Notamacropus eugenii: one gene and its partners. The protein of the gene in region 1 purifies or fractionates together with the protein of each later gene. This does not show direct contact. Links are inferred from orthologs where the notes say so. Each region holds a gene or a part of one and is shown on either strand. Other genes may lie near its edges. The genes, in order: NFKBIA, NFKB2 and RELB.

The links.
Region 2: the proteins of NFKBIA (region 1) and NFKB2 purify together in Homo sapiens (affinity purification with mass spectrometry; 6 studies listed by BioGRID and IntAct, counting the BioPlex papers as one, with this or other methods). This does not show direct contact. The link is inferred for Notamacropus eugenii from reciprocal best matches to the Homo sapiens genes NFKBIA and NFKB2.
Region 3: the proteins of NFKBIA (region 1) and RELB purify together in Homo sapiens (affinity purification with mass spectrometry; 4 studies listed by BioGRID and IntAct, counting the BioPlex papers as one, with this or other methods). This does not show direct contact. The link is inferred for Notamacropus eugenii from reciprocal best matches to the Homo sapiens genes NFKBIA and RELB.

Annotation. Positions count from the first base shown.
Region 1 is NC_092872.1:327,532,415-327,542,086, forward strand, and holds the start of NFKBIA (NF-kappa-B inhibitor alpha), read right to left. Parts: upstream 4,329-9,672; 5' UTR 3,684-4,328; coding exon 3,436-3,683; intron 2,816-3,435; coding exon 2,707-2,815; intron 2,264-2,706; coding exon 2,053-2,263; intron 1,707-2,052; coding exon 1,618-1,706; intron 1,389-1,617; coding exon 1,128-1,388; intron 527-1,127; coding exon 479-526; 3' UTR 1-478. UniProt on the Homo sapiens protein: Inhibits the activity of dimeric NF-kappa-B/REL complexes by trapping REL (RELA/p65 and NFKB1/p50) dimers in the cytoplasm by masking their nuclear localization signals.
Region 2 is NC_092872.1:180,576,814-180,586,966, reverse strand, and holds the start of NFKB2 (nuclear factor NF-kappa-B p100 subunit), read right to left. Parts: upstream 4,399-10,153; 5' UTR 4,288-4,398; intron 3,192-4,287; exon of another isoform or gene 3,131-3,191; 5' UTR 2,939-3,130; coding exon 2,918-2,938; intron 2,459-2,917; coding exon 2,380-2,458; intron 2,276-2,379; coding exon 2,142-2,275; intron 1,974-2,141; coding exon 1,875-1,973; intron 1,770-1,874; coding exon 1,618-1,769; intron 1,060-1,617; coding exon 953-1,059; intron 523-952; coding exon 364-522; intron 238-363; coding exon 133-237; intron 1-132. Other genes in the region: GBF1 (Golgi-specific brefeldin A-resistance guanine nucleotide exchange factor 1), read right to left, coding at 8,288-8,568, 9,170-9,307, 9,499-9,679, 9,948-10,061. UniProt on the Homo sapiens protein: NF-kappa-B is a pleiotropic transcription factor present in almost all cell types and is the endpoint of a series of signal transduction events that are initiated by a vast array of stimuli related to many biological processes such as inflammation, immunity, differentiation, cell growth, tumorigenesis and apoptosis.
Region 3 is NC_092876.1:27,467,028-27,476,976, reverse strand, and holds the start of RELB (transcription factor RelB), read right to left. Parts: upstream 3,741-9,949; 5' UTR 3,669-3,740; coding exon 3,590-3,668; intron 2,911-3,589; coding exon 2,863-2,910; intron 824-2,862; coding exon 815-823; intron 650-814; coding exon 351-649; intron 268-350; coding exon 110-267; intron 1-109. Other genes in the region: putative lipid scramblase CLPTM1, read right to left, coding at 4,792-4,994, 5,733-5,900, 6,844-6,979, 7,359-7,454, 7,728-7,918, 8,337-8,430, 8,973-9,217, 9,899-9,949.

The DNA of each region.
Region 1 (9,672 bases):
AAAATAAACATAATATACACTATTTACAAAAGGGTGTAATCATCACTGACAACATGATAGGATCAGAAGCCAATTCTTTAACAGAGTTCAAAATTTTCCTTTCAGTTTACGTGACTATTAACAATCACAGAAAGCAGCTACAGTCAGCCACTAGAATCCACAGTTAGCAAATCAGTGAAATACTTAGTAATGAAGACGTAATTCTTTGGGGAAAACCAAACATAGGAAGAACTCTCCAAAAACCCCATATGCCTCTTAGGAAATTTTCTTTGAATTTTCAGTCTTCTTCCTTGTTACATGCCAAGAATTCACAAGGACAGGATGTGAGACACCCTTCAATTACAATAATGTGTTTCAAGCAAACCTATAGTTATGAGTGTACTTTTTTTTGTATTTTAAATTTTTTTTAGAAAAATAAAATATCTTTTTGTACAAATTATACAGAGTAGAGCTTCAGGCTCTTTCAGTTATATTCAGTTCATAATGCTAGGCGTTGGCCTCCAATCACACAGTCATCATAGAGCAACTAAAAGGAGAGAAAAAAGGCAAGTTAATGTCTAGAACTTCAAAGGAAAAGAGTTCAGTAATTTTGGGGCTTCTTTCTCCATTACATATATATTTTTAAAAAAGGTAAAGATATTTTCCCTTAACAGGGGGTTAAGCCAAGAGATAAATTACATTAGAACATGGGTGAATCTTTTGGCATTTTTATAGGTGGAAGATATTTAAGGGAAAAATTTGGGAAAAATAACATTCATTTTGTGACATTTTGACAGGGTGAAGTAGAATGCATAGTTGACAAATCTGAATTATGTTCTGCTTTGCTCCCAGGGGCTAGAGCTAGTATGCCCCAAGGGAACAAGGAAGAAATAAACTATACAGCCAGAAGAGCTCTCAGAGGTTCAGTCTCCTCATTCAGCATGTAGCACAAGAAACGAAAGTCCCAAAAGGACCTTGACTTGGAAAGATCAGATATATAACATACAGCAGAGTGAGGAGTGGAACCCTAATTCTTTCATTTCAAAGGGTGAGATCTTTTCAACATGTCACACTTGCCCTAGTTCTCATTTAAATTTTTTTTTACAGGATGTTGTAAGGGATCAATAAGTGTTGCAACAGTTACTTACTTCATCCTCTGTGAATTCTGACTCTGTGTCATAGCTCTCTTCATCTTCACTCTCTGGAAGCATTTGCAGGTTTTCCATGGTCAGCTGCCCCAACTGCTTCTGAATAGTAGTGTTCTCTCTGCCCCAAGTGAGCTGATATGGAGAGTAACCCTGGTAGGTGACTTTGTTCACATCAGCCCCACACCGCAAGAGGAGTGATACAAGGTCAGGATTCTGCAGGTCAACAGCAAGATGGAGGGCAGTTCGACCATTACAGGGCTCCTGTAATGCAAGAAAATTAGGATGTTCAACATAGATTATATATATATGTGTGTGTGTGTGTGTGTGTGTGTGTGTGTGTGTGTGTGTGTGTGTGTGTGTGTGTGTGTGTGTGTGTGTGTGTGTGTGTGTATATGAAATAAAATATATTCAGGGCAATGGGAAAGGGCTGGCCATAAGCAGACTCTTTTGAATCCCTGCCACACAACCATTTAAAAAGTGTTATAATCACCTGAGCATTGACATCAGCTCCCAAGGACACCAAATGTTCTACTATTGCTAAGTAGCCATGAATGGAAGCCAAATGGAGACATGTGTGACCTGCAAGAACAGCAAAGGAAAATAAATATAATTATTCATGTTAACCCTAACATTTCCTGCTACTGCCAGAACAGGGACTTTTCCCCTCATTTTCTTAAAGGAGTTAAGCTACTGTGTTCTGAAATTTTAGAAGTCAGACTTCTAGTCTTTCCCCCCAATAAGTAAAGTTCCCTTAAATAAATTAAACTGATAATGGAGCCGTAAGTGACATTTTAAAAAGTCTCCGATTTTTAGACACTAGGCAAGTTCCTTCCCAGTCTCATGGTTCAGATTCTGTATTAAGCAGTTCTAACGTGTCCAGGGCCTCACTGGCCTCCAAAGAGTGGTAGCATTGCTGGAGTCGTACCATTGTAGTTCGTGGACTGCAGCACGGAGAGGAGGTCCTGGGTCTGGCAATACTGGGTAAGCACTCCCACACCAGCCAGGCAGCCCTGCTCACAAGCAAGGTGCAAAGGTGTATTCCCTTGAAAGTCCCTGAGCTCTGGGTCGCAGCCAGCTTTCAGCAGTGTCTCAGCAATCTCTGGCTGTTTGGTGATCACAGCCAAGTGAAGAGGAGTCTACAAACCAAAGAGAGAGAGGAACACAGGTGAGCCTAGGTCACACGTAAACATTCTGGGATTCCCTTCAAAATGATCATCCCCTAGCCTTAGGAACTGCCAATGCTGTCTCATTAAGAAATCAAAGCTATAACCCAGGAGCAAAGGTTACTGACGGAGAACAGCCGTGGCACTCTTTTGGGTCGAGGGGGCCTGGGTTCAAGTCTTGACTGTGCCACCTGGGTAATAGGTAAGTGATTCGAAGTCATTTCACCTCACTGCACTTCTCAATAATCTCCTCATCTATAAGATGAGGGTCCTGCTAGACCTGCTGTCAGGTCCTTTCCCCATGTAAGTCACTGCTGACCCCGAAGTCATTCTAAACGAGAACAGTCTTGCTGATCCCGGGCCTGCCAGGCCGGGCCAGGCAGGGCACCAAGCGGCCTCGAAGGAGGGGGCCGCACCTGCTGCAGGTGGTTCTGCGAGTTGAGGAAGGCCACGTCCCCCGCCACTTGTCGGATGACTTCCAAGGTCAGGGTCTTCTCCTCGTGAATGATGGCCAGGTGGAGGAACCTGCAGCGCGGAGCAAGGAGAAGAGAGGGCGCGTGAGGGATGCGCGGCGGGCGGCGGGGGGGAGGCGGGGCCGGGAGGAAGGAGGAAGGAGGGTTGCGCAAAGCTGGGGTTTCTGAAGGCCGGGGCCGGTGTTTTCCGCGAGGTTATTATGAGCTGAGTGTTCCTGGCACTACCCCAGGGACTTTCCGGGCCCTCCCCCACCCCTCCCGGCTGGCGCCGGCCCGCCCCGCCCCTCCTTCCCCAGCAACTGGAACGCCCTGTACTTCCCCCTGCCAGCGGCGGCCCGCGCGGCCCGGGCGCGCGGCCAAGCCCCGCAGAAAGTCCCGGCGCGGCTCCCCTCCCCCAGGCCACCTTACGCACCCCGGGCCTCAGGTCCCCCGCCCCGAGCTCGGCCCCGAGGGGCCAAGGGCTTCGAAGAGTTTTGTAAAGGGGGGGGCGAGGCAAGGGAAGTTCCATCCGCTCGCTCGCGGGGGGAGGACGGCCCACGATGTGCTGGGGGCTCTCCCCGCATCCCCCGCCCGTTCCTGCGGCTCTGGGGTGCACCCACCTCCAGCCTTTGTTCCCCCTCCCCCCCCGACCCCCGTCTTCGTGCCCGTAACCGAGAGCCCCGCCACACTTACGTGTCTCCGTCCTCGGTGACCTGCAGCTTCCAAGGCTCTTGGGGCGGCCCGGGTTGCGCCTCCTGGGGCTGGATCCGGATCTCCTTCAGCTCCTTCACCATCAGCTCATACTCCTCGTCCTTCATGGAGTCCAGGCCGCTGTCATGGCGATCATCCAGAAGCCTCTCCTTTTTGAGCCCGTCCCGGGGGCTCTCCATGCCCTGCTCCCGGGGGCTCTCCTCCTGGGGCTGTCTCAAGGCGTGAAACATGGCGCTGCTCCGAACCCACGGGCTTCGTGTCTTTGCGGGGCTCCAAACGCAGCGGCGAGCGCGGGGAGGGAGCCGAGGGGGGCGGAGGAAGGGGGCGGCTCTTGGAGCTGGCTGGCTGGCGACGGGGAGCAGGCCAAGCGACCGTCAAGCGACTGGAGGGGAGCGGGCCGCGCCGCCGACCTATATGCTGCGGCCGGGGATTTCTCGGGGGCGGAGTCAGCGCGGGGAATTTCCAAGCCAGTCAGAGCAGAAAGAGAGAACTGGTCCGGTCCTGCCCGGAGGGGGGAAAGCCTGCAGCCCGCGGGAGGGCTCGGCGGAGAAACTCCCGGGGATGCGGCGGCGGGGTCATGCCCGGGGAACGTTCTGATGAGCGCTCGGTCGTTGGAAAGTCCTCCCCCGGCTCCCCTCCTTTTCCCCCAGGTATTCCCCTGCAGCCCAGACTCGCTCCAGTCCCGCCAGCGTGCCAAACACCTTTCCTTTGTCCCCCACCCCCACCCCCACCCCGAGGGGTTCCCTGTCTGGGCTTTAGGTTGGATGCATTCTGAGCTCTCCAACTTCCAACATTTCAGGAACGAAGAACTCAGCCAATTAATGAGCACCCCCTTTCTCCCCAACATTTAAGTGCCTTACTACGTGCAAAGCACTGGGGATACAGAGGGAAAAGTAGCCATGTCCATGCTCTGCAGGAGTCCAAAATCTGTTCCTTGTTGGATGTTTCAGCTTCAAGTCAGCTACAAAGCCCCGGAGGCCCTCAGGACAGCAGCAGAGCAGAAGCTAGTGCATCTTCTTCAGTACAACTCCCATGGCTAATTTTTAGTGATTGATTGATTTCAAGATAGCTCCTCTGTGGGACTGGCTGAGCCAAACAGGTCTTTATTTTAAAACAAATCTTGTAAAGAAGAAAGATGGAAAGCATGGTTGCATGCAGGGATCCATGCATCCAGACTTCCTCTGTGTGAAAGTGTGGTCTAGTGGTTGGAGTGAGACAGGAATCTTAGATTCCATTTCTCTCTTTGCTGTCTACCTCTATCTGCAGTATAAAGCCTACTGATTCCTTACTTTTCTCATTTTCCTAAATAGGAATACTGACAAATGAAAGAGTTAAAAAGCCAAGTGCTTTGAAATTCTCAAATGAAAAGTACTTCTTGTGGCCTCCTTGAGTTTGCACAAGCACCACATCCTATATAGATGGGAACAGACTGATCCATGCTAGTAAATATTCTTATTGGATTACTCTTCGCTGTACATGAAACTGTTAAGTATGAAATAGCAGTAAAAGGAAGCCAAGTGTTCAGGGCTCCTTTGTTTATTTTTTAAAGCAGAGGTGGTAGGTATCATTACAGTTAGCCACTATGTATTTGTTGATGGTCAGCTATGTGCCTTCAATGATGCTTTTGCAGATATTCATCCAGGTCAATTCTTTCCTTTGGCATGTTCCCTTTATAGTTTAAGTACTCCATGCAAAACTTTTATTTAACCATGTAAAAAAGATGGGGAGAGGGAAGGGTGTTGGGGAGGTGTAATTCAAAGAACCAGCCTGATATGTCTGTGAAAAACATGAGGTCTAAATGTATTACACTATATGCTAACCAGGGCCAAGAATACGTCTGTCAGGTAACTGCTCAGAAGTGGGGGGAGGGTGCTATCATATTTTAAAAAATATTTTTCTCAAATGTTGCTTATACTAGATGCCCACCCCCTTTCATTGAAAATCAACAAAGACCTAATTGCTTACCTTATTTGGTAATGGAGAAAGTAGGACATGTCATCCATCCGTCCATCCTTTCATCCAACAAACATTTAGTAAGTGGTATTCAAGATACAAAGAAAAAAGATAGTCTTTTCCCTTAAGCCGAATTATATTGGGGGAAATAACATACAGAAAAATCCAAAATATATATGAAGGAACTATGGAGCACAAGCAAGAGGGATATCAGGATTGACTTCTCTGGAAGAGGTCTCCTTAGAAAACATTCATGTGGCATTAAAGGTTTGCAAAGCTCTTTATAAATATTACCTCATTTTATCCTCATTGCAACCCTGAGGAGGAGGTGCTATTATTATTTTCTCCATTTTACAGATGAGGAAACCAAGGCAGACAAAGTTGAAATGACTTGCCCAAGGTCATGCAGCTAGTATCTGAGACAGGATTTGAAATAAGGTCTTCCTGGTCTTCTGGGTCCAAAGCTCTGTCCATTGTTCCAACTCGCTGGCGCTTAAGTTGTGTTCTGTCCATAGTTTCCAGCAAAAGATCTAAAGTGGTATAGCACTCCTTCTGAGCTACTCTTCCAAATTCATCCACACAGGTTTGCAAGTTGGATCCCCAGGGACATGACTACTACTCCCACAGGTTTTAAGGTACCCTGTGAGTACAGGCTCCAAGAGCTTCCAAACCCACACCAGTGTGCTTCCCATTAATGGTCAATCAGTAGACATGTCAGCTCAAAGCAAAGGCATTTATTAAAATGGCATAGTAAGACTTGCAGCTACAACACATTTCTCTTCACGAATCTGCAACACACTTGGTTACAATTATTATTAATAGTGTCAGGGTACTCATGCCAAGACCACTCCTCTGTTTTTACATCTCTTTTTTTACTATTAGGAAATACCCAGTTTTCCAAAGCTAAGTCCCAGCAAACAAGCTGTTTAACATAACAATCCTTTGTGCTTACCCTCTGGATGATCTCAGTCACAGCAAAACCCTAAAATTGTTTCCCATGAGCACCAGGTGGTCTGTGAGCTTGGACAAGCATCTGTAGTACCTGTGTTCTGGTCATGAAGTCCTGGCATGAATCAAACTTACCTCACTGTTGCTGGTACCCCTCCACTATCGGGGCTGCATCTCACTTTAGAAGCCATTGGTATAAATGAGATTTGCCCACACTATTAGCTCTTTGGTTTTATTTTGTTTTATTTTATTTTTAGAGTTAAGTGTAGTTTTGGTAAGCTATGTGAGCTCTCTGGGTTGCTTTTTTTTTTTTTAGCATTAGCAGCAGTTGCAGAGCTGGGTGGCTCTTTGGTCATTTGTTTTTAGGGCTGAGGATAGGAAGAGAGGGTATGTACAAGAGAGTACAATAAAAATTTGGCACATGTGTAGGGATCAAACATAATCAATGCAATTCATGCTTTAAGAACTACAGGATCTTGATAGACTTTCTGTAGTCTTCATGGCATGCCTCCCTCTCATTTCCCCCACTTCTCCCATATCCATAGCTGGGCTCCGAGGGACCGCTCTTCTCCAGAGTGACTATCAATTGCCAGGGAGAGTTTTCTTTTGAGTTCATAGCAGGCTCTCTTTTCCTCTCCAAGAGAGCAAAGTTGCTTCTAACCTAGAATGCCTCTCTATTTTCATGTCTGTCTGGAGAATATGTATCTCTGCTTCCTCTTGGATATATCTCAACTTTTGAACTGACAAACTGCTGGATGTGGCAAAGTATTTCTTCAACTAGATGACTTAACAATGGAGGTGGGGAGTGGGGAAGAGAGAGAGCCATTCTTGGAATTCTTTCTTTATGGTAGGTTCCTAGTCTGAAATAGCTCTTAATATCCAACTGCATCATTTAGGGGTCATAGGGACGGTGTAGAAGGGATGACCAATTATTGTTTGTTTAGGCATTCACTTCTGATTGAGAGAGAAAGGTATTCACATTAAATAAACAGTAGCAGGTTAGCACATCATTCTGTGTCTATGACGGAGCTGGGGAAGGGGAAACCAAGTCCTCCCTCCCTGGTATCACTGATATCACTCCACTTCTTGTAGTGGGCTGGTAACTTAGATCAGATCTATTCAAATGTTGGACATGAGGGGCCAAAATGGTTTGCAGAAATTTCTTGATGTTTTTGTAGTATCCCTTACCTTTAACCTTTGTATTTCTCCTTATCCATTTTTAATGTAGGGGACCTGGGTTTGTAAGTTAGTATAGATGAAGGAGAAGAGGGTGAAAAATACACACGTAAGTGTGGTATCATGGAAAGAACACTGGCTGTGGACCTGGAATTCTACTTCTGGAAGCTTAGTCACCTAGGTCGGGGCTTTGATCCCTTCCAACACTAGATCTGTGATCCTGTGAATCTTTAGGGAAGTTGTAATAACATCTAATTAATCTAGCACAGTATCTAGCCAGGCACTGCTGGCTAGTGCCTGTCCTTTATTTACCATTACAATTTGTTCTTGATTATTGTTCTGGACTTCTGTCCTCTCAGTAGGGGAACTGAACTCTGAGGTGCTCCAACTCCATCTCACTTCAGATTCCTAAGAAACAATTTATTTTTGGTTTTAGTCTGAAGGTTTCTCTTCAGTAGAGTTGGGGAGACAAATTGAAAGAAAGGAAGTAAAAAAAAAGTTACCCAGGTACAAACATGAATCAGGTATGGAACAAGCAGTTTTATACTCACACAGGAAGGGAACAGCTTAAGCAATAAAGATTCACAGAATGATTACGATCAGTTGAAAGGCTAATACTCAAGCCTCATTGGGACTTTGTAACAGGGCAGCTCATTGGTTACTTTTTACATTTCTACTCCACTGAGAATAGTCCAATTGATGCCAAGTGTACTCCTTTTCCAGTGGTTTCCTCTTTCTGTGGGCAACTCCTTCTTTCTTCCTAAGGTCTGCTGCTGCCTCTGCTATTGCCGTTTCTGTTGCAACTGCTCATGAAACTAATGCACCACTGTTTGGGAAGGGGGAGAATTCCAACTGTTTTTTGAAATCTCACAAGTCTCTGTGACCAGATACAAACAGGAGGCAGACCCATGCCAGACACAGGCTTGACTAAGAGGCCTTGGGTTGGCAGGTGGGGGGAAAGTCCCCCTTCCCCTGCCTTGGACCTTGGAAACTAGTCATCTTCATAAGCCTCAAAGCCAGCAAGAAGGAGAGGCCTGAGGGGGTGGGGATAGCCCCTTTAGATTATCCTTAATATTCTGGTTTAGCAATCATTTAAATAAGTCCTCAGTGACTGATAAAAAGAGTTTCTCCATCATAATCCTCCACTAGGTACTAGGAAATATGCTATATGGTCTCTACATAGGAGGAAAGACCAATTTACTGGGAGTTAGTTTAGCTGGGTCCCAATTCTAGGTAAGATATATCTCTGAATTTAATTTAACAGTTTAAACTTACCTCTCAATGTCCCCTCTTTCTCACTTGTAAATGAAACATTTGGATCAGATTTTCCTTGACCAATTTTGCAACTCTATTTTGCGTAAATGCAGTCAAATCTGATATTTCAAACACACTGATGTGGTCCTTGGGAACATCATAGCGGAACTCTCCATGTAGAAAGAATGATAACATTCTTCACTTGAAGGAGTGCAGACATCTTAGAAGTATCATTTCATTAACTCTCATAGCACCTGCTGTGAGAAGGGTGGAGGCAGACACTAAAGTGACCCAGGATTTCCTTTAATTGAATTTCAGTAACATTTTAAAGGCACATGTGGATGAAAAATAATTTCATCTGTAATCCAGAATAGTTTTCAAGGGCAGCTTGTTTGAAGCTTTTTTTTTAGTTGCCTGGTCATTCTCAATTTCTTCTGCTGACACCTAGTGTACAAGAACCGCAGCAGCAACAGTAACACAGCTCATTGATTGTCCAGGGCTTAATGATCAGTGGCCGGAATTTAGGAAGGCGTTAAGTTCTGAGCCTTGATGAATTGTCCCTACTAATTGGGGATTCTAAAGGGTTCTTTGCTTTTCTTGCAACATGGGGAGCCGAGACTGCGTTGAGTAATGCTGCCTCACAGGTGTTTTTTTTCTGTCACATGTAGAGAGACTTCATAAGATCATAGATTTCTGAGCTAAAAGGGTCCTTAAAAAGATATCTGGTTCAACTCTGTCCTTTTTATATGCAAGGAAAAGAAATGTCAGAGAGGAGTTGCAATGCCTTGCCCAAGGTCACGTAGCTGTTGTAGTTCAGTCGTTTTAGTCATGTCTGACTCTTCATGACCCATTTGGGGTTTTCTTGGCAAAGATACTGGAGATTTGCCA
Region 2 (10,153 bases), about 150 Mb from region 1:
CCCTCTTTCCTTACAGCTTCATCCAAAGCCTCAGTTGTCTTCTAGCACAACCCCCTGGCATCCCTGGACCCAGTTTAGGCCCACAGCCTCCTCCTTTTCGCTTGTTGTCCCAGTCCCTGGCTCTGTTCTCACCTTTCTGCACCTTGTCACAGAGAAGATAAACTTCATCCCCTCCCCTAACAGATCCAGCTGTCTTATCCATTCGGGAGATCTTCAGGTTTGAGGCCCCAGGGGATTCTAGGGGGAACAAGTGATCTCAACAGAATGCCCAGCTTGGGCATCATCCCCTCAGTCTTCCCCCTCCAACTGTGGTCTCTGCTCCACATTTTCCATATCCCCTTTAACTGTGCTTGGGTCACTCACTGCTATCGTGGATGGGCTGGGAGATGACAGGTGGGAGGGGGAGAGAGAAAGAGCCATCACTGGCCCTGAGGAAGGCAGAGAAGCGGAGCCGGACAATGCTGAGGTCCATAACTTTCTTCAGTTCTTTGGCCTCCTGCTCTAGCTCCCGCCGTTCAGCCTCTGTGATGGGCAGTCACATGTATATCCAGTTGATTTCAACCCTTTGTCTGACCCCCTCAATCCTCAGGTCACTGTATGGGCCCTCCCAGTGCCCTTGATCTTTTCTCTCTTTCTCTCCCTCCCTCCTCCCTCCTTCTCTCTCAATCTCTTTTTTTCTCCCTCTATTTCTATCTCCCTCCCTCCTCCCTCCTTCTCTCTCAATCTCTTTCTCTCTCCCTCCCTCCTTCCCTCTCTCTCTCTTCCCTCCTCCCTCTCCCTCTCTCAATCTTTCTCTTTCTCTCAATTTCTCTCAATCTTTCTCAACCTCTCTTTCTTCCTTTCTTTATCTCTATCTCCCTCTCTCTCTCCCTTCCTCTTCCCCCCCTCCCTTCTTCCTCTCTACCTTACCCACAGCCCCAGACACATACTCCCCTTTCCATGGTGCCCATACCTGTTAGACCCTGGGGCCTAGAGCGGAGTCGCTGCCTCTGCAGCTTCTGCATCATGATCTCCATCATGTTCTTTTTTGTCACATGCAGGACTCCCAGGTTGTTAAACCTGAAAGGAGTCAGGGTGACAAATCAGATACGGAGAAGCAAAAGATGGGAGGGCTCAAGCGGCTCCCTGGGTGGGAAATATCTTCCCCCTGCTTTTCTACTTGTCCAAGTCCTTTGCATCCTTCAGGCAGGCTTCCTTGATTCCTCCAATCCACAGGGATCTCCACCTCTGCTGAGATCCTCCAGCCCTGAATCCAAGCAGCTTGCTCTAACCCTCAGAACACACACTGCTTATTTCATTATATTCCCAGGAGTGAATCTCATCTCCTTGGCCAAGCCATGAGCAACCAAGGGTTGGGGCCAAGCCTTCACTCTGTCCTGTTCCCTCCACCCCCCCAGACTGTTCTGAGTGTAGGGTTTAAGTTTGCTCTTTCTCTTACTCCTACCAAGATGCTGATTTCCCCAATCAAGTCCCCTTTTGTTCCAGTACAACCAAGCATGGACATTAAGCCTATGAAGAAGATTCAATAACCAGGGGACTGGAGGGGGGAAGCAGAACTATTGCTGGCCTCAGAAAAGCTCAAGGGTGGGGGTAGGGATGGGAATGGGGACATCGTACTGAGCTGTCATGTCCTTGGGTCCCACGGACACCACGCAGACACCCAGCTCTGTGCACTGCTTCCCAACCAGGCTGTGTGCATGGGCCCGAGGTGGATCGCTGTGTGTGACCAGGTCCACTTCAATCTTGGCTGGTCCCACGTAGTTACATATCTGGGGAGGATGAATGGAGGGATATTTGCCACACATGGACAGTCACCTCCCTGCCCCTCTTCTCCAGCGGCAAAACCCCTCCCCCCCACCTTCTCTTCTGCTCACCTTAACTGTAGGATATGTCTTACGACCCTTTTCACTGGAGGCTCCAGGCAGCCCTCCATGGGAGGGGCCCTCACAGCCATAGCGAAAGCGGAAGCCTCGCTGAGGATCAGAAAATAGCCATAGTGAGGAGTGATAACCCCAGTCTGCACGGACCACTCCCCAACTCACAGGGATCGCCTCTAACCACTAAGGAACACTCCCACCCACCCCTGGAACTGAAGGAAGGCAAAGCCCCTTAGCCACCCTGGTCCCCCTTCCTGCTCTCACCTGCTTGGGCTGCTCCATGATGACCAGGTAGGGGCCCTCACCTGGGGATGGAGGGGGCATGTCTGAGCCAGGGGTCTTGAGATCTCCTTTCATACCCACCCCAATTCTGGCAGAAGGTCCTATATTTCTACTTCCTGGGGAACAAACAACTGGATGGCAGGAGTGGGAATTGACAAGGAGGGAGACAAAGGGGATTAGGAGTCCTTGGGAAATTTGGTATTAGCAGAGCCATACTGACCGGTCTCCTCTGGGGGTTCTCTTCGATCCACTACCGGGGAGTTGAATTGGAAATCATCGTAATCAATGCCATCCAAACCCTGGATTTGGATAGATATAGTGGAAACTTACCATTCCCACAAAATTACTATTCCCATCCCCCACTTAGAATGATCACCCAAACTAGGAGAGGACCAGAAGTGGTCAGACAGACAAACCAAGAAAGAGGGGCAAGGGGGAAGCCAGAGAGCTGGAGGCAAAAGGAGGAAGGGGCAGCAGCTCACATCATAAGAGCCAGGAAAGCAACACAGAGGCTTGGATAGACAGAGGACCAGGAATCCAAGGGGTCGACACAGATCAGAGCTTGGCAGGACAGACAGGACTGAGTAAAGTGGGGGTGGGGGTGGGGAGGGGCACTGAAAGACAGAGTCTAGGATATTAGCCAAACAGAGAGAACTCCAGATGGTCAGACGGACAGACAGAGAGAGGCCTACAGGGTCCGAGAGAGAGAGTTGGTAATAAGGAGAGTCACAAAGATAGCCACTTAGGCTAGCACTCACTGGGCCATAGCAATCGTCCATGTTTTAGAGCTGGGCTCTGTCCAGCTTCTGCTGCCGATGTATCGCCAAGTACCTGTGCTTGTGGGTGTGGAGGGGCACCCCTCAGGCCAGGTCTAAAGGGAATAGCCAGGAGCCTGAGGGTAGGGGGCAGAGGGTCCCTCCTCCTGCCAGGCTGGAATGGGTGAGAGCCAGAGAGCTGTGGGCAGGCGGGGGCTGGGAGGGCAGGAAAGTTAGAACAGCTCAGGAAAGTCCCGAAAATACCAGAGAGAGGAGGGGCGAAGGGAGGGGGTGGGCCTGGAAATGACGTGATTTGCCCAGCCCAGAGAGGGAGGGCGCAGTTAGGAGTTTGAGGGGCCCCTTCCTGCTCTCCTTTCTCTTCCCTACTCCCAGAACAGAGCCTTGCTCCGTGGGGAACCGTGGGCTGTGGAACCCTCGCCCCTTATCAGAGGAACCCCAAGTCTGAGGGGCTGATTGCTGGGGATGAAGGGGGAGAAGACTAGGGCAAGGGAAGGCAGAGGATTTCAGTAGGAGGGAGGGGCTCTGAGCTGGGGATCTGGGGGCACCTTTCCAGGCCAGTGGTGAAATCTGGAAGCCCAATGAGAGTTTCCCCTGTCTCTCCCGCTACCCCCTCCTGGGTTTCAAACCTGCCCTTCCCTTTACTATTCTAGCCTTCCTTCCCTTTCTCCCCCCTCCCACGGCTTGGGGCTCCCCTGGGATTTTCCGTGGGTCATCTGTTGGGGCCTGGGGGGGAAGGAGGGAAGGAGACTGCTGATTCAGCCTTTGGGGCTTTTGGGGGAGATTCCTCTGGTAGGGAGCCCCCTCTCCTCTGGGGGCCCTCCTGCCCTAAGTCCCTGGGGATATAATGCCCTCCGCTCTTCCTATGGACTTTGGGCAGCTTGGGGGAGGGGAGCCTGCCTCCACCCAGCTCCTTCCCCACTCTTCCCTGTACGTGGGGATGCCGAGAGACAAAGATTCCAGTTGTCTCTCTCTGTGTCTGCCTGCATGCACGTGTGTCTGTGTAACCGTGCTAAAATGAGACGGTTGGGTATCCGCGTACTTGTGCCGGGGGTGTGTGTGTGTGTATACAACCGCGCACACGCGTGTCAGTGTGTTTTTCTGCGGAAGGGTGTACACCCTTCCGTGCCTGCGATGTGTGCCGAGGACTGCGGTCCCTCGCGGGCCGACCCTCGTGCGTGTCAGCGTCTACGTGGGAAGGCGCGTGAGTGGGGGATGTGTGTCTGCGTGGGATCGCGCCCCGTGCGGACCTGGGTTCTTGACTCTCAAGGCTGAGTGGGGGCCCGCCCCCGCCCCTCTACCCGTGCTCTGAGAACCGAGGGAACCCAGGGGCAGGACGCAGGGGCACCACTCACGGCTGCAGCTACGGCTCCGGCTCCGGCTCCGCTACCGGCGAGTCCTGCCTCCGCCAGCCGTCCGACCCCGGCGCGGCTCGGCCCGCGGCGGCCCCAGCCGGGAAAGCCCCTTTTCCGCCCCCCCCCTCGGGGGGGAATTCCCATCACGTCACGGGGCGTCACCGCCTGGCCTCTTTCTCATTGGCTCAAAGTTTTGGCCCGCAGTCGGTGCAGCCAATGAGGACTGAGCATGGAGCACCGCCCCCTCCCCTAGTGTCTCCGCCTCCCAGCCGGGAAGAGAACCCCTTCCCCCTTCCCCCTTCTCCAGGGAGGGATCCGGGAAGGGTGGGCATTCCTTGGGTGTCTCCGCGCCCTCGCGCCCGGAGCTGCGGCCCCCTCTGGGTGCCCGGTGGCCAGCCCCGAGAAGTGGAGATGAAGCTCCGTGGGCACCGCCCTCGCCCGCCAGCTCGGAGGGGCGGGGGGTTCCGCCCGCGACCCTAGAGCCCCGTCCGGCTCCGTCTGGGAGCGGGATCGAGAGCGCCACCCTGCTGGGCACCGTCCGGACCGGGCCCGCGCTGCCCGAGCGTGGAGGAGGTGGGGGTGTGGCAGGAGGCCGTGCGGCCGCCCGCGCTCCCCGCAGCACTGCTGGGTTTGTTCACGCCTGTGCACCGACTCGTTCTCCCGCCCTCCCCCAGCCCCCCGTGAGCCAAGGGTGGATTAATTGTTGTCCTCGGGTCCCCATTCCAGCGCGTAACAGGCCCTTAAGAAATGCTTCATTGTTGAGGGAGGGGGCAAGAGCCCAGCTGGCGGTGGATACCCCTGGTCCGAGGGAGGAAACGGTCGGATCAAGCTAGTGTATTGGAGAGTTGGACTCGGATTTGAAAAGACCTGAGTTCAAATGCCACCAGACACTAATTCCGTGACCTAATCTTTTAAAATGGTAATAATGTCTGTCATGCCTTTTTCACAGGCTGATCAAGTTCCAGTTCCATAATGTAAGTAAAACATAGTCTACAAAATGTCAGATATCCATAACTTCTAAGCTTTGATCTCTGTCAGCTAGGGATCAAAAGACCAGTGGTCACAGAAAGACCCAGTGTATTAAGACAAGGCTGCTAGGCCTGACTAGCTACATAGATCTGGCCCTTCCCTAGGCTCTTTTACTGACTCTTCATGCAGGTCACCCCACCAATCATGGGTATCCCATAAGGCTGACCCTCTTTCTGTACTACAGTGCTTAGTGATCTCAGCTCCCATTAACTATCATCTCTGTGCAAATTGAGTTCCAGATTTATGTGTTCAACTCTAATCTTTCTCCTGAGCTCCAGTTCCACATCACCAACTGACTTTTGGATGTTTCATAGGCATTTCAAACCCAACTTTGTCCAAAAACTCTCCTTTCAAACCTTCACTTCTCCCCAATTTTCCTGTTACTATTGAGGGTGCCACCATCCTTTCAGTCCCCCAAGCTTGAAGCCCCTGTCATTCCTTGATAACTCACTTGTCTTCACTCAGTATTTCATCCTCCTGGAGGTCTATATCATTTTTTGCTTAGACTACTGCTACAGCCTTATGACTAGTCCATCTGCCTCATGCCTCAATCCACCCTCTATTAAACTGCCAAAGTTTGACCAGGTTTCTCCCTCCCATCAACTCCAATGGTTACTATTTGCTGGATCAAGCAGAAAGCCCGTTTGGCATTGAAAGCCCTTCACAACCTGGCCTTCCTTCCTCTTTCCCAGCTTTTTACACTTTACTCTCCTCTACGATCCAGTTACACCAGCCTGTTCGCTGTTCCTCACACATAACGGTCCATCTCCTGTGCTTAGACTCTTGCACTGGCTGTTTCCCATGTCTGGTTTGCTCTCCTCCATCCTTTGCAAGCCTCCCAGGCTCTGCCCCCACTCCATCCCTCTAGCATCATCTGCCATGTACACAGTATGTTACATGTCATTTGCATGTTGTCTCATCCATTAGAATGTGACCTCTTTTAGGTAAGGGAGGGTGTATTTGTCTATCTGTATCCTCAGTGCTCAGCAGTGCCTGGCATATAGTAAGCACTTACTAAATGCTTGTTTCCTGAATGATAGGCAGGAAACCAGCTAGACTCTACAGCTACCTAGTTCCCTATTCTTGTTGAATTCCTTCAACCTTGAGTTCTAAGATTCTTATCACCACCTCCTTAAGATAGCTCCACATTTCCCCTTGTCGGCCACACAGCTTATATCCCTGTTTTCCCTCCCTATGGTTGATTAAAGCACAAGTGGTCAGAAGACCCTTAAAGCAAAAGAGGAATTCTAGGCCTAGTTTGAGCACAGTTGAAGTTTTCCTAGGTGAGACTCTAGCATCTTGAAGTTCTAGCTCTATACCCAGTCACCCTCCCACAGGAGGATGTTGTAGGCATTCAGGGCTGCTGCTCTTTAGAAGTGGCAATCAGGGGGAGGCATTTCTGGGGCAATACAGCCATAACTGTGAGTGCTGACTTCTGTAGTCCTTGAGGGGGGTGGGCAATAATGTAGGAAAACGGCAAAAAATCGCAAGAATGTGTTAGTACCCAGAAGTACCTGCTCCTCTCTTTTTCCTGGTGGCACTGAGAGAGAAGTACCAGGCACAGACTAGTGGTTTAGAAGCAGGCCCTTAACTTATAGTAGTGGGTATGATGCTTCAAAGGCCAGGCCCTATAGGCATGAGACTAGGACTTGGGGGGGAAAATCTTCAGCCACTTCTATCTGCATACCATCTTGCCTTCTGCAAGTAGATAAGTTGGGAGTCACAGGGTTGGCAAGTCACTGAATTTTTCTGGGCCTCCGTTTTCCACCCCTGTTGAAGAAGGTGGGGTATAGGCCCTAAAGTTTCTTCATACCTGACATCTTATGATGCTCTGACTTGGTTCCTAGGCTTAAGCTTCTGGAGCCCTAGTGATAGTAGATTGCAAGGATTAAGGCCTAGCTCTATCCGGTAATGGGCAACACCAGCCCTAGTTTTCAGTTCCCCCACTGTCTCATTTCTCCTTAGAACAGGGAGACTGTGGAGGAAGGTAATCTCTGGGAGCTGCAATTATTCATAAACTGTTCTAGCCTTATTTCCCACTAGTTTTGGAAGGTACAATTGCCCTTAGTGATGCCCTTCCCCAGGCAGGAGGGTAGTTGGGCAAAGTGACTGGTGGCTACAGACTGGCAACAAAGAAAACCTGTCCTTGTATCCAGTTCCTTGGTAAGCAGGGGACAGAATGCTGCAGGGTCCCCGTTTATGTCTTCTCTCCCCCTCAGCTAGCCCTGTGGATCTCTTGTGTTAGGACTAGTCCCTTCTCTATCAAGTCAGGCCACAGACTGAGAAAAGAAGTATTCGGAAGGGGAGGAGGTAAAGCAGAAGGGGAACGGGAGGCTGGTGGGTGGGTTTTATTACATTTATTACATTGTAAAAAGTCAATTGTTAACTTCATATGTACATGCTCCTGTCGGCAATTCCCCTCGTCACCTCTGTCTCCTGGCCCTAACTAACTCCCCAAATGAACCCAACTCACGGATAAAGGAGGAAGAGCTGGAGGAGGTAGCTCAGGGCTGATGGGGAGAGGAGAGGTCTGAGGAAAGGGAAGCAAAGTGCAATGTGGTTGGAGTATAGCTCTCAGAGCTCGGACTGAAGGATAAGGGCAAACAAGGGGCCCCTAATGCCAAGAAACAACATGGACAAGGCTGGTTGGCACTGATGCCCACAGGTCTCTCCCTTAGGGTTAGTCCAGGACTCCTTAGAGACTAGAGTTAGCCTGGGGTGGGCTCTCAGGGAGGCCTCCCAGAAATGATGAGCAGAAGAAGACAGTCTCTTCTCCCTGGATGACGTCTCTAGGAGTGCTGCCCTCATTCCCTTCAGCAATTTTCCAATTTGGCTCCAATGAGAGCAGCAGCAGTGGCCGGGCTGGGCCCAGAGGTGGCATCAACATAGTGTGCAACCAGAAGAGGGAGAGGGTGAGAGGCCCTCAGTGGTGTGACAGAAGGGATAGGCCCAGTCTTTCCAATCACCTGTCTTAGTTGACTTCAGAAGTGGGCATAGAGTCAGTGGGTCGAGGAGCAGTTAGCAGAGGTACAGGTGAAGTAGCCTCGATTAGGGCTGGATTTAGAATGATGGGCAATGTCATGGGTGGCACGCCCACCTGCAGTGGGGAAGCCAGGGGCTGCAGGATCAGGGGGGGCTGGGCCAAGGGCGCAGGGCCATCTGTGCTGGGACTCAGCTTGCTGGGTGTCAAGACTGTAGAAGAACCAGAACAACTACTGGCTGCTGCTCCAGAGACCTCGGGCTTCTCTGAATCTGTGGGGGAAAATGTTGCAATATTCAGATCCCACTTTGGCACATTCTACAAACATTCCTCCCATGCACCTGGATTAGGTTCCCTGCCTCAGCCTAGACAAGTGATAATCTACCTTGTTGCAGTGCTGAGTCTCCTTAAGTCATCTCTTCCAGGGTCTAACCAACCAGGCAGTTCATTTTACATCTAGGCTTAATCCCTACTCTTCTACCCTGAGTTCTACAAGAATTAATAAAGAAAAGCCCAAACGACGTAGTCCTCCTATCCCTTTGCTCAGCATCACTCTCCCCCTCACTCACACTTCCTTCTGAATGGCTCTACTATACTGGCGGTTGATGGAGCCTACACTTTTCTGATTCCCTGGGAGTGCTGTCCTTGGAGTCATTAAGACCAGATTTCACATCCAGTCCCAGACACTAATCCTAGACAAGCTACTTAACTTGTCTCCCTCAGTTTCCTCATATGTAAAATGGGGACAATAATAGCACCTACCTCCTACTTAGCTCAGCGCCTGGCACACAGCAGGAGCTTACTAAGTGCTTATTCTCTTCCTCTCATTACCCCTTCTTTTAATATTTAGAAGTGCAGAGAAAGGAGACTTACCATAGGCCCCCAGCTCTGAGGGCATTTCTGGAGTATAGTTGTGGCTAGACAGTCTTGGGTCACTGGCAGCAGGAGTCAAATGGGCAGAGGTCAAGGATTTCTGGGAATGCGGTTCGGTAGGTACCGGTGGCAGGGGATCTGGGGAGAGTTATAGTTCAGATAGTATCTCTTAGCTTTCTGTAAAAGAATAGTCTTGTCTCCTCCCAATGGCTGTGTGCCACTGACCAACCCAGGGCACTGAGCCCCAATCCAGTTTTAGGCTCTCTGGGAGCTCTAGGGTTCCTTTGTGCTGAAGCTGGGGAGAAGTGCTCAGTAGGGCCTTCCCATACCAGGGATGACTGTCTGCTTGAAGAGATCATCTCGCAGGTGGGGCAGGAAACAGTCAATACGTTCCCAGGTGATCTCCCAGAGGGCAGAGGAACTGCTTCCCCTGGTGTCTGCGTTATGGAAGATCTCGGCAGTATCCATCACCAGCAGCATGTTCTTCAGTGACTCAGGGATGGCCTCAGACTGGGAGAGAGGTATGTGTGGGGAGGGGGAAACAGAACAGATGGGAAAGAGGCAAAGAGCAGCCCTCAGACAAGGAAACTGAACAAGTGCATGTGGAAGTTAGGAATTTAGAAGGGTAGGGCAAAGTGACTGGGCCTGGTGGGGGGGGAGGTGGAAGGAGCACAGGAGAAGAGGCCACACTGAGGATAGGGTAGGGACAAAGCTCAGTGGATAGAGACCGAGTTTAATGGGGAGGGAGCAGAGGTTGGGGAGCTGTAGGGGACCATACCAGTAAGTCGCTGGAACCTGCATGCATATACTTGTCCATGAAATCCAGGATGGTCAGCCAGAGTGCAGCAAAGGTTGGAAGTGACAGCAGTGGGGATAGGTGCTGCAGGAACACCTGTGGCCCACCAGTGGCTGATCAGATGATCGAAGACACCACCCTTGTCCCTGGTTCCAGGGATGGGAAGAAGCCCTATCTAGCCTGTCTCC
Region 3 (9,949 bases), on another chromosome or scaffold:
GACACCTGGGGCCAAAGCCCTGCCTGCCCAGGGCTAGGGCCAGCTCTGTGGTGCTGGGAGTTTTGCTCTTCTAAAATTTGGAAGGCTCAACGGGAATCACAGTGGGTACCTGTGTCGGGGGCTGATGTGAGGCCGCAGCCGGACCCGGCAGACGCCATCGGCACAGTCTTTGCCCACGAGGCCATGGGGGTGAACGCGGTGGGGCCAGTCCTTCCACACCAGGCAGGCCGTGACCTCCACCTCCCGGATGCCCCCGCAGTCCCGGAGCTGTAGAAGCAGAGGGTGATGTAAAGGACTCTGCTGCCCGCCTTTTCCGCAAGTTCCCAACACCCAGCCCCCCTAGCACCCACCTCGATGGCGGGCAAGGTCTTGCTGGCCTCTGTGCTACTTTCTCCGAGGATGCTGCCAGCTGAGCGGCCCTCACACTCATAGCGGAAGCGCATCCCCCGCTGCTTGGGCTGCTCTGTGATAACCAGGTGGGGCCGGGGGCCGGGCCAGGCTGGTGGGAGCGGGGGTGGGGGGGGTAGGCACCCCACGGTCACAGTGCTCAAAGAGGCGGGTCCCCGAGGGACCAGCCGGAGGCCCCCCTCCCCGGAAGAGGCCCGCTCGAGACGAAAGCCATTTTCTTTGATGTATTCATCAATGATGTCTGGGGTCAGGTAACAGTGGCCAGTCAGTCATTCACCGCCTTCTCCCCCAAACTCCCAAGTGTCATCTCCATGCCCTCTCCCTCTTTTACTGTCTCTCCTGAGGTCAGTGCCTGCTTCTCCCAGAGGCCCCCACCAATCCTCCCCTGGGGCCCCCCTACACTTACCCAATTCATCTGTAGGGGAAACAGAGAGAGAGAGAGATCAGAGTCCTGGGATCACTAGGAAGTGCTCCCCAGTCCCACCCCTGGACCTCCCAGCAGATGATGTAATGGTAAAGCTAGAAGGACCCCCCCCCCCCCATTCTATGGATGGGGTAGTCAAGGCCTATAAAAATAACTTGTATTAAATGCTTCATGTTTGGCACTTTGTGATCCCACGGGATCTCAGTGCCCCTGGGAGGGGATCCTTTGAGAAGCTAGGGAGCAGATGCTCAGAGCCAGGGAGCTGTGCTCATGGGCATGCAGCTGGTACATGGTAGAGACAAGATCTCTCCTGACTTTGTTCCAAGTTTTTTCCACTCCATGGCACAGGCCCTTATTGGCCCTGCTCACCCTTCTCCCCCAATTTAATTCCATCATCTTCATCCCAGACCCTCCCTCTTCCCATTCGCCACTCCTTCAACCCCATGTACACTTTAGGTGTCTTCCAAACCATTTAACAGATGAGAAAACTGAGGCTCAAAGTGATAAAGTAACTTGCCCAAGGTCTGGGGGTTAGAACTGAACCCAGGTCCTCAGCCTCGGAGAGGGAAACTAGAGCCCAACAAGGTGTCAAGGTCATACAACTGCTTTAGAGGTCAGCTTATACAATCCCCTCATTTGATAATTAAGGAAACTGAGGCCCAAACTGGGGAAAAGGACTTGTCTAAGTCAATAAATTGAGACAGCAGTAAACCTCAAATCTCCTAACACCCAAGGCTTGGGCCACCATCCTCATTTTGAGAAATGAGGGTCAGTCCTCAAATTCCCCATCCTCAGCTGCCAAGGCCCTAGGCCTAAGGGAGTCTTTAGAGACCCTCAAGGACTTTCCTCCTCCTAGCCCTCTTTCCCCTGTTCTGTTCTCTCATCCTTCTGCAGTCCTTGGATTCCTCTGGCCTTCTTCCTTTCCTCAGGTATCTCTGCCCTTTGGGGCCCCACCCATCCATGGACACTGCCCCTTCCCTGCTCTGGGAACCCTCCATGATTCCTGGACCATGCAAGGGAATGAGCCAGATTATGAAGGGAGAGATAGAAAGGTAGAAAACGAAAGCAGAATGGAGGGGTATAGGAGGAGGAAAGGAGCCATTGAGACCAGAGTTCTCATCCTACCATCCTACCGTGCCTAGTCCCAGTCTCTTCCCAAGCCTGGAGAGGCGCTGGGAGTCAAAATAGTATAGAGAATGAAAGAGTTGGAAGGGACTCTGGATTCCATACAGTCCAGGCCCCTCATTTTAGAGATGGGGAAACAGATAATCTGTAGCCCTGGAGAGGGAGAGGTTGAAGGCCATCCAGATGGAGGTTAGATGGTAACCCAGTTCTCCAAACCAGGCCAGGCTGCTCCCTCCCCACAGAAGGGACTTTGGGCAGGGCAGGATCATTGAAGGGGAATCCCAGTTCTTCTCCTCCACCTCCCCGATGGCCCAGTGGCTACCTACAGGTACCTGCCCAGGGCCACAGCACTTCCTGGTTCTGCAGTGACCTTTCCCCTCCCCCCACTCAGTCTGAGGCCAGAGAACTGTGTTTCCCTTCAGTCAAAAGACTGAGGAGGTAAATTCATTGCACTGTAACGAAAAATGAAACCTCAGAAGGTCAGGGCTGGGAGGGAATTTAGAACATGAAATGTCAGAGCTGGCACAGACCAGCAAAGCTGGAGGATGTCAGAGCTGAGGGAGCGGGTTATGGTACAGGGGAAAAGACTTGGTTCTGAATCAATGGGTCTGAGTTCAGATCCCAGGTCAGTCACTAACTACTTGTGTGGGCTTGGGTAACTCACTTGTCTTTCTTAGCCTCCAGCTTCCTGTTCGATTAAAGCCAGCCTCTAAAGACCCTTCTCACAGTAAGCCTGGGGGGCTCTGAAGCCCAGTATCAGAGAGATCATTTTACAGATGAGGAAACTGAGGTGCAAAGGAGTGCTCCAGGAGTCTGAGTCAACAAGCATTTACTGAGCACCTGTGGAGGTGTGCCAGACACAGGACCAAGTGTCAAAGCAGGGGGAAGAAGCGGGTTGTACCCACCTGTGGTGCGAGAGGTGGGCAGAGTCAAGGCTGGGAGCTCAGTGGGTCCTAGGAAGGAGCAGATTCATGGAACATTCTACCTGGCCCTCCTTCCCGCTATTCCCCCAAGGCCTTTTTCTTCTTTCCCAGAGGGCAGTGATCCTTCTACTTGGGGCCCTTTCCTTCTCCCTCATTGCCTGGGTGCTCCCCCCTCCCTGATCTCTGCTGCACTGTGGGGAGGGCATCCCCTTTCTCCCTCTCTCACCCCCTCTTCCAGCTCGGCCATCTCCTTTCCCTGTCCCTCCCTGCTCCCCCTGCCCCCATCCCTGTCCCTGCCCCATAAGAGGAGGTGATTCCTTTTCCTCCCCAGCTCCTCTGCCTCCCCTGGGAGGTCCCCCTTTTCCTCCTCGGCTTCTCCACTTCTGTTCCTCGATCCTCCTTCTCTGTCCTGAGAGGGTCCCTTTCTTGTCTCCCCTGCTTTCCCACTTGTGTCCCTGTCTCTTTACTGCCCTGCTCCCTCCTCTCCATCTCTGCTTCCTTGGGGACCCCTTTCCCTTCCTGGCCCCTCCCCCAGCCCTACCACTCTGTCCCCCACTTGGGCCCCCTCCCCGGCCCTCCCGCTCTGACCCCTACTGTTACCCCCTGCGCTCTGCCCCACTCGTGCCCCCTCCCCCGACGCTCCCGATCTCTGCCCCCCGCTGGGCCCCTCTCGGTCTCCGTCCCACTGTCGCGGGCGGGGGAAGCTCACCCATGGCGGCCAGCACGGAGGCGGCGGCCGCGGCAGGGGCGGCGGGGGCCGGGCGGGCCGGACGGCCGCTCCTCCGCATGGCAGGGGCCCGGGGCCCGGGGCGCGGCGCGCTCTGAGCCGGGCAGGCTCCCCGCGGGCCGCAACAGAGCCGAGCCGGAGCAGGAGCCCGGGCCTGGCCGGACCGCGGGGGGGCGGGGGAGGCGGCGGAGGCTGGGGGCGGGGCCGCGGAATTCCCCGGCGCCGCGGAGCCCGCCGCCCCTATTGGCCCAGCCCGGCCCGTGACGTCACGGCGGGTGGAGCGGGGAAACCCCCGCGCGCCACGTGACCTAGGGCCAGCCGCCTGGGCCGGGGGCGGGGCCGGCCGGGAAGAAGGGGCGGGGCCTGGCCCAGGGGATCCCGGCTGTGGCCGGGCCAAGCCCCTCACTTAGGGGGGCATTCGAATCTAGGACTCAGGATTCCCAAGCCTGAGCCCTTCTTCCTCCACCCTTGTTTGAGGAAAGGGTCCAACAGGGTCTCGAGGGAGAAGTGCGAGGCAGCAAGGGCCCCCAAAAGACGGGCCAGGAGGAGGCCTGGGAGTCTTGGGGGGCAGTCTGCAAACAGGTCTGGATGGGTCTGGGGGAGCAGGGACTGGGGCGGCCACAGCCCTTCCAAGAGAGAGGAAAGGGGGGAGGGCACTGGGGAGCCCCCTCTTGTGGGTCTCTATGGCCCAGGATGAGCCCAAGGTCGGGGGAGGGAGGGGTTGGGGGCTCCGGGGAGCTGTCCAGCAGCCCCCCTAGGCGGCGATGGTCAGCAGGAGAAGGAGGCCGGGCCCTGGCATAAGTTAAACACCCATATGAATTTATTAAATCCAGAGTCTGTGTTGGGGGAGGTGGGAGGTGGGAAAGGATGAGATGGGTCTGGGGGTCGGGAGGGAGAGCTCTGGGGCCTCAGCCCCCTCCCACCCACCTCCCTGCCATGATGCGATGGCTTACAATGATTACAGATGGCGCTGGAACTGACACAGGGACAGACAGGCAGGGAGCGCCCTGCTCCCCACACTCCCAACACCAGCCTTCCCCCACATCACAACAGGGGGGCGTTCCCCTGACCCCCTCCAGCTCCCTCCCTCCCCGTCTGTCCAGGGCAGGGGGGATGGGGTCACAGTGAGCTGGGGGGGGGGGGCATGGGGAGAACGTTGATGGCCAGGGAAACCAGGGGAGAGACTAATCCTTCTTCTTTTCCTCTGCCGGCTTGGGGGCGGGCCCCTGGTCCTGTCCAGGGAGGGGGCCATCCCCACTGGGGGCTGCTGGCGGCGTCAGAGCCGCCACAGCTGTCTGCGCCTCCCCGCTCATTCCAAACTCGTTCACTCGTGTGGGGTCCACCCGGTATATCCACCGCTGATAAAGGTAGATGAAGAAGACCACATCTGAAAAAGCACAGGAGAGACCCATGAGGGGGCCAGTGGGGCTGCCCCCACCCTCAGCCAGAACAGCTTCCTCAAGAGCTCCAGGCTCCTCTCAGCTTCCTGAGGATCACAGATTTAGAGATGGAAGGGCCTTTGGAGGCCAGAGTCCAACTTCTTCGTTTTGCAGAGAAGAAAACTGAGGCCCAGAAAAGTGACTTGAATGAGCTTACACCATCGAAGTGACTGAGGCAGGATTTGAGCCTTTGGCCACTTCCTTTGACATGGACCACCTCCTGGATGCATTTAGGAGACCTTGGGGTTGTGGTTCCCAAGTATCCTAGAAGTAGTCCCAGGCCTCCTGGGGAGCCTGCCCCTCCAGGGGATGGCTTTGCCATCGTGGATGGCTCTCCCTGTAAGAGGCTATTCACTAGATGGAGCTGCAATCTGACAGTGCATTGCCCCTTGTTCCCAATTCAGTGTCTGGGATGAACCAGGTGTTTAAGAAATGTTTACTGAATTCGAGCTAAGAGAAGGGTATGACAACAGAATCCTACTCCCTCAGAGGTCTTCCCTCCTTCTGGCTACTCTCCCCACTTCCACCTACAACCCTTTCTTGTCCAGCCGGCCTGTCTCTGCCTCCCTACAACAGGACTCCCATTAGTCCGAGGGGCTGACTGGCATCCTGCTCTCAGGGCCTCACCCAGGGCTGTGCCCCACCCTCTTCCCCATCCCCATCCCTCCAGGCCCCCACGTGCTCACCATCTCGAAGACAGCCAATCCGGTACATCACTGGCATCTTGATGACAAAAGCAAACAAGTCATCAATGAAAGTGTTGAGGGCTTTGTAAGTCAGCATGCGCCAGGGCAGATGGGCCACGGACTTGAGCTTATAATTGATGAAGAGCTGGGGCGTCATGGTGATGAAACCTGGAGATGGATGCAAAGGGGGCAGGTGAACGCACTGGGAGACTTGGAAGGGGCCTCAGTCTCCTCATCTGTAGGGTGGGTTGGACCAGACAGTCTCTGAGGGCCGCCTGAGGCCAACACCTACATTCCACAGAGAGACTGAGGCTTAGAGATGGTCACAGCTCACTCCAGACACCATCAGCATTCATCGGTGTCCTGGGCTACCTGATGTCAGACCTGAGACCTTACAGGATACATGGCCCATATCCCTTCATTTTACAGATGAAGAAACTGTCTTGCCCAGTGGGTCCTATCAGGTGAGGGGTAAAACTGAGATTGTTGCCAGGGCTTCTAACCTCCACATAGTGCTCTGGCTATCACACTGGGAAGACAAGAGGGCTGGCTTGGTTGAGTGGACATAGCTAGAGGGGCCACCCAAGGTCAAGAGGGACCATAGGCGCCCCCATTCTCCTCCCTTAGCTGGAAGGCCCTTCCCCCATCCCTGGGTTCTTCCTTCACAGCCATCTCCAGCACAGCCCACACCTCCAAAGCTTCAGAACTGCAATGGGGAAGGAGTTTACATATAGGGCGGCCATTAGCAGCTGGGTGCCCTGTACCTGGTCCTGCTGGGCCCTCAGGTCTTCCAGCTACTTGGTCACTAGGCCATGGTCCCAACATATCCCCCAGGTCCCCCAGGCACTCCCCCACCATGTACATGTGTATGGCCAGAGGCAGAAGAGAAGTCAGGCCTTCTCAGAGCTCTATTCACTGCCTTGTGGACAAAAGAATAACAGGACCAAGAGGCCAGAGAGTCTAAGGCCAAGAAAGGTCTGGGCTTGCCCAGAGCCCCCAGTACAGCTGACACAAACTCAGGGTCTCTCCTCAGATGCCAAAGCCAATCCCCTTCCTTCCTACTCTGGCAGAAGGACCGCTAACGTGTTCCGGCTGTCAGGGAGGGTCTCACCGAAGGTCAGCAGGAAGCCGTAGAGCATGCTAAGGACCCAGGAGTACCAGCCCTTATGCTCCATGTACAGAAGGCTGTACACAGCATAGCAGCCCAGGAGGGGGAACAGGATCCAGGACAGGTACCTGAATGCCATCTGCATGGGGGGGAGGGAGTGGTGAGTCCTGATAGGGACCTGTCCTCAGGGCCCCTCCTCTCCCACACCCACATTGCCTCCTTGGCCCTCTGGCCTTGCCCAAGGGACTTCCCAGGTAACACACAAGGACTTTGAGCTTCCTAGCACTTGCAGGCTGGAGAGGTGTGTGTGTGCATGCGTGTGCACACCCCAATATGCCCACAAGGGCCCCCCCTTCTGATTCCCCCAGGTCTCCCCCTCTCTCACAGCCCTCCTCCAGGGGAGCCCTCCACACCAGTCTCCTCCCCCATGTCCTTCAGGATGCAGGGTCTGCCTCTCTCCACCTCCTTCTCCCCACCCCCACCCCTGTCTTTTCCAGGGCCCTGCACCCCACACTTACGTCATCATAAATTTTGGTGGAGGACTCTATATATGTAGACTTATCCTTGAAGGTCAGGCGGGGGAATACTCCAGCCACCTTGTTCTCTCGGTCCAGCTAGCGGTGGGGGAAAAACGAGTAAGCGGAGGGAGAAAAGCTCTCTTCGAGGACAACCAGCCCCAATGCCCCTCAATTCCCCATACCCTGAGGGGCTCTAGTACCAGAAAATCCCCAATACAAATTCCCCAATCCTTAGTGGGGGGGCTTGGTCCTGGAAACTCCCTGGTCCTACACTGGGGATGGGTGGGGGGAGGGGTCTTAGCTCCCTGCAGTGGGGGCTGGGAGTCAGGGCTCAGCACTCTCCTGTGCAGAGTTGATTGAGATCCTTACCCGGACATCCATGACCTTGGTTATCTTCCACAGGTCAATCAGGACGCCAATAAAGACGCTGACCTGAACCACAAAGTTGGTCTCATTGTCAAGAATATAGAGAAGGACCACAAGTGACTGGAACACACCAAAGAAGACAGAGCGGACGGAGAGGCCCTCAAGGGACTGACGGCTGTTCCAGAACTGGATGTCTGTGAGCCCGGGATGGAGCAGGAATTAGGGAGGTGAAGTCAGGCATACCCAGGCCACCAGAGGGCTGAGGTGGGCCTGTCTCTATGCTCAGGCTGGGGGCTCCCTCTGGTGCTAGGACCCTCTCCTGTCAGCTCCAGGGCCACCCTGGAGTTCCCCTTGGCTCAGACAGCTGATCCCCTGAAGCCCGGGTGGGGGTGGGGCCTTGCCTGCTCTCTGCCTGGAAGTGCCCGCCTGTTGCCCCACCCTTCTTCACCCCCTCTTCAGGGACTGCCCTGACCAAATCTCCCTGGAGTCAAAGATTTGTGGCATCGAACCTCCAACAAGGCGGAAAACTGCCCTAGTCTTTTTGGAGTAGGAAGGGGCTGCATGTTTGAGGAAGGCTCCTCTAGGCTGGGGGCTCTCTGGGTGGGCCCCTACCATTCTTGAAGGCCAGGAACTCAAAGACGCTGTGGACAATTGAGACGACGATGGTGAGGGCCAGGAGGTAGGGGTTGGTCTCGAGGAGGGCCACCTGGGAGGGCAGTGACACACAGAAGGTCAATGGGAGTGAGGACTCTGCCTGACCCGTCCTCCAGGGGCAGGCCCCAAGCCCAGGAGACCCACTGAAAAGGGCATTGGGAGACAAGAAAGAACAGTCATGGAAAAGTCAGGGAGAAGAAAGAGGGGGAGAGATGAGGGAAAAGTTGAGGAAGGAAAGGGAGCACGGCTGGTGCAACCCAAGGGTGGGTGGAGGCTGGGGAGCACCTGCCCCTCTGCCCTCACCCTGCGTCCCCCAGGACCGGCCCAGAAGCATTATTAGAAGGACTCAAGCTTAGGGATCAAGTGACTCTGACCCTTGTCACCTGGTGGAGCAAGAAAGGGTGGGAGGGAGGGAAGGAAACAAGCATTTCTTAAGTGCTTACTGTGTACCAGGCCCTGGGCTAAGCACTTCGTAAACCTCTCGCTTGATCTTCACAGTACCCTGGGAGTGAGGTGCTGCTCTTGTCCCCATTTTACAGCTAAGGAGACTGAGGCCAGCAGAGGGGAGGTGATGTGCCAAGGGGCACCGCTCACCTTGACGGAGTCCTGCTCCTCATCTGACTGCTCGTACAGGTCCTCCCCCAGGAAGTTCCAGGGCGAGCGGCTGCTCTGGGCTGCATAGAGCTGCCAGCGCCACAGCGACAGAGGGCAGAAGGAGAGGCGCAGGGGCAGGCTGGCCAGGGTCTCGTTGATGGGGTAGTAGTCTCGCTGCAGGTTCCAGTAGTCATTGAAGTAGATGATGGGGTAGTAGTCTCCGCTCACCGCGTCGAACTGCACGTCTACAGGGGAGCAGGAAAGTGGCCATCAGGAGGGCGAGGAGGGAGGGCCCAGACTGGGCCGGGCCGGCAACAGGAAGGGGAGCCTGAGGCAGCCCCCCGGGGCCGGAGGGGCCACCCCAGAAGTCAGGGCTCCGAACTCTGCTGAGAGGCCTGAGGATAAAATGCAAACAAAGAGGGAGAGTCCCAGGATCTGTGATTTCACTGGCAGCTACAGCCAAGGTCCAGATGAGGAAAAGCCCGCTCCCATATGGTTGGGCACCTTCCCCAGGGAGCTGCCTGGAACACCAAGAGGTGCAGAGACTTGCTCAAGGACACACAGGCAGTGTTGGTTGGAGGCAGGACCAGAACCCAAATTTCCTGGGTACCCATGAGACCACACTGCTCCTCTGCAAACACACATCAATCTTACCCCAACACCAGTTTCAAGATTCTGATGTCTGGGGGAGTGGGCATCTCTGAGGATCCAGTGGGCCTCTAAGGCTGGAGGCCTGGCCCCTGGCTCTGCCGGCAGTGGGGAAATGGTGGGCATGGCAGAAGAGACCTGGTTGACATGGAAGTGGGACCCAGAGGAGGGGAAAAAGGGAATGTGGGCATGGAGGCTGGCCTCCTCCCTGCCTTAGAGAAGATAGGCAGAGAGAGGGAGACAGAGGGAGAAGCCTTCAGGGGAGGAGAGATGCTTACACTGGTCCAGGGGTGGAGGCACACTGCCCTTCACCCAGGGCGTGTGGTCAT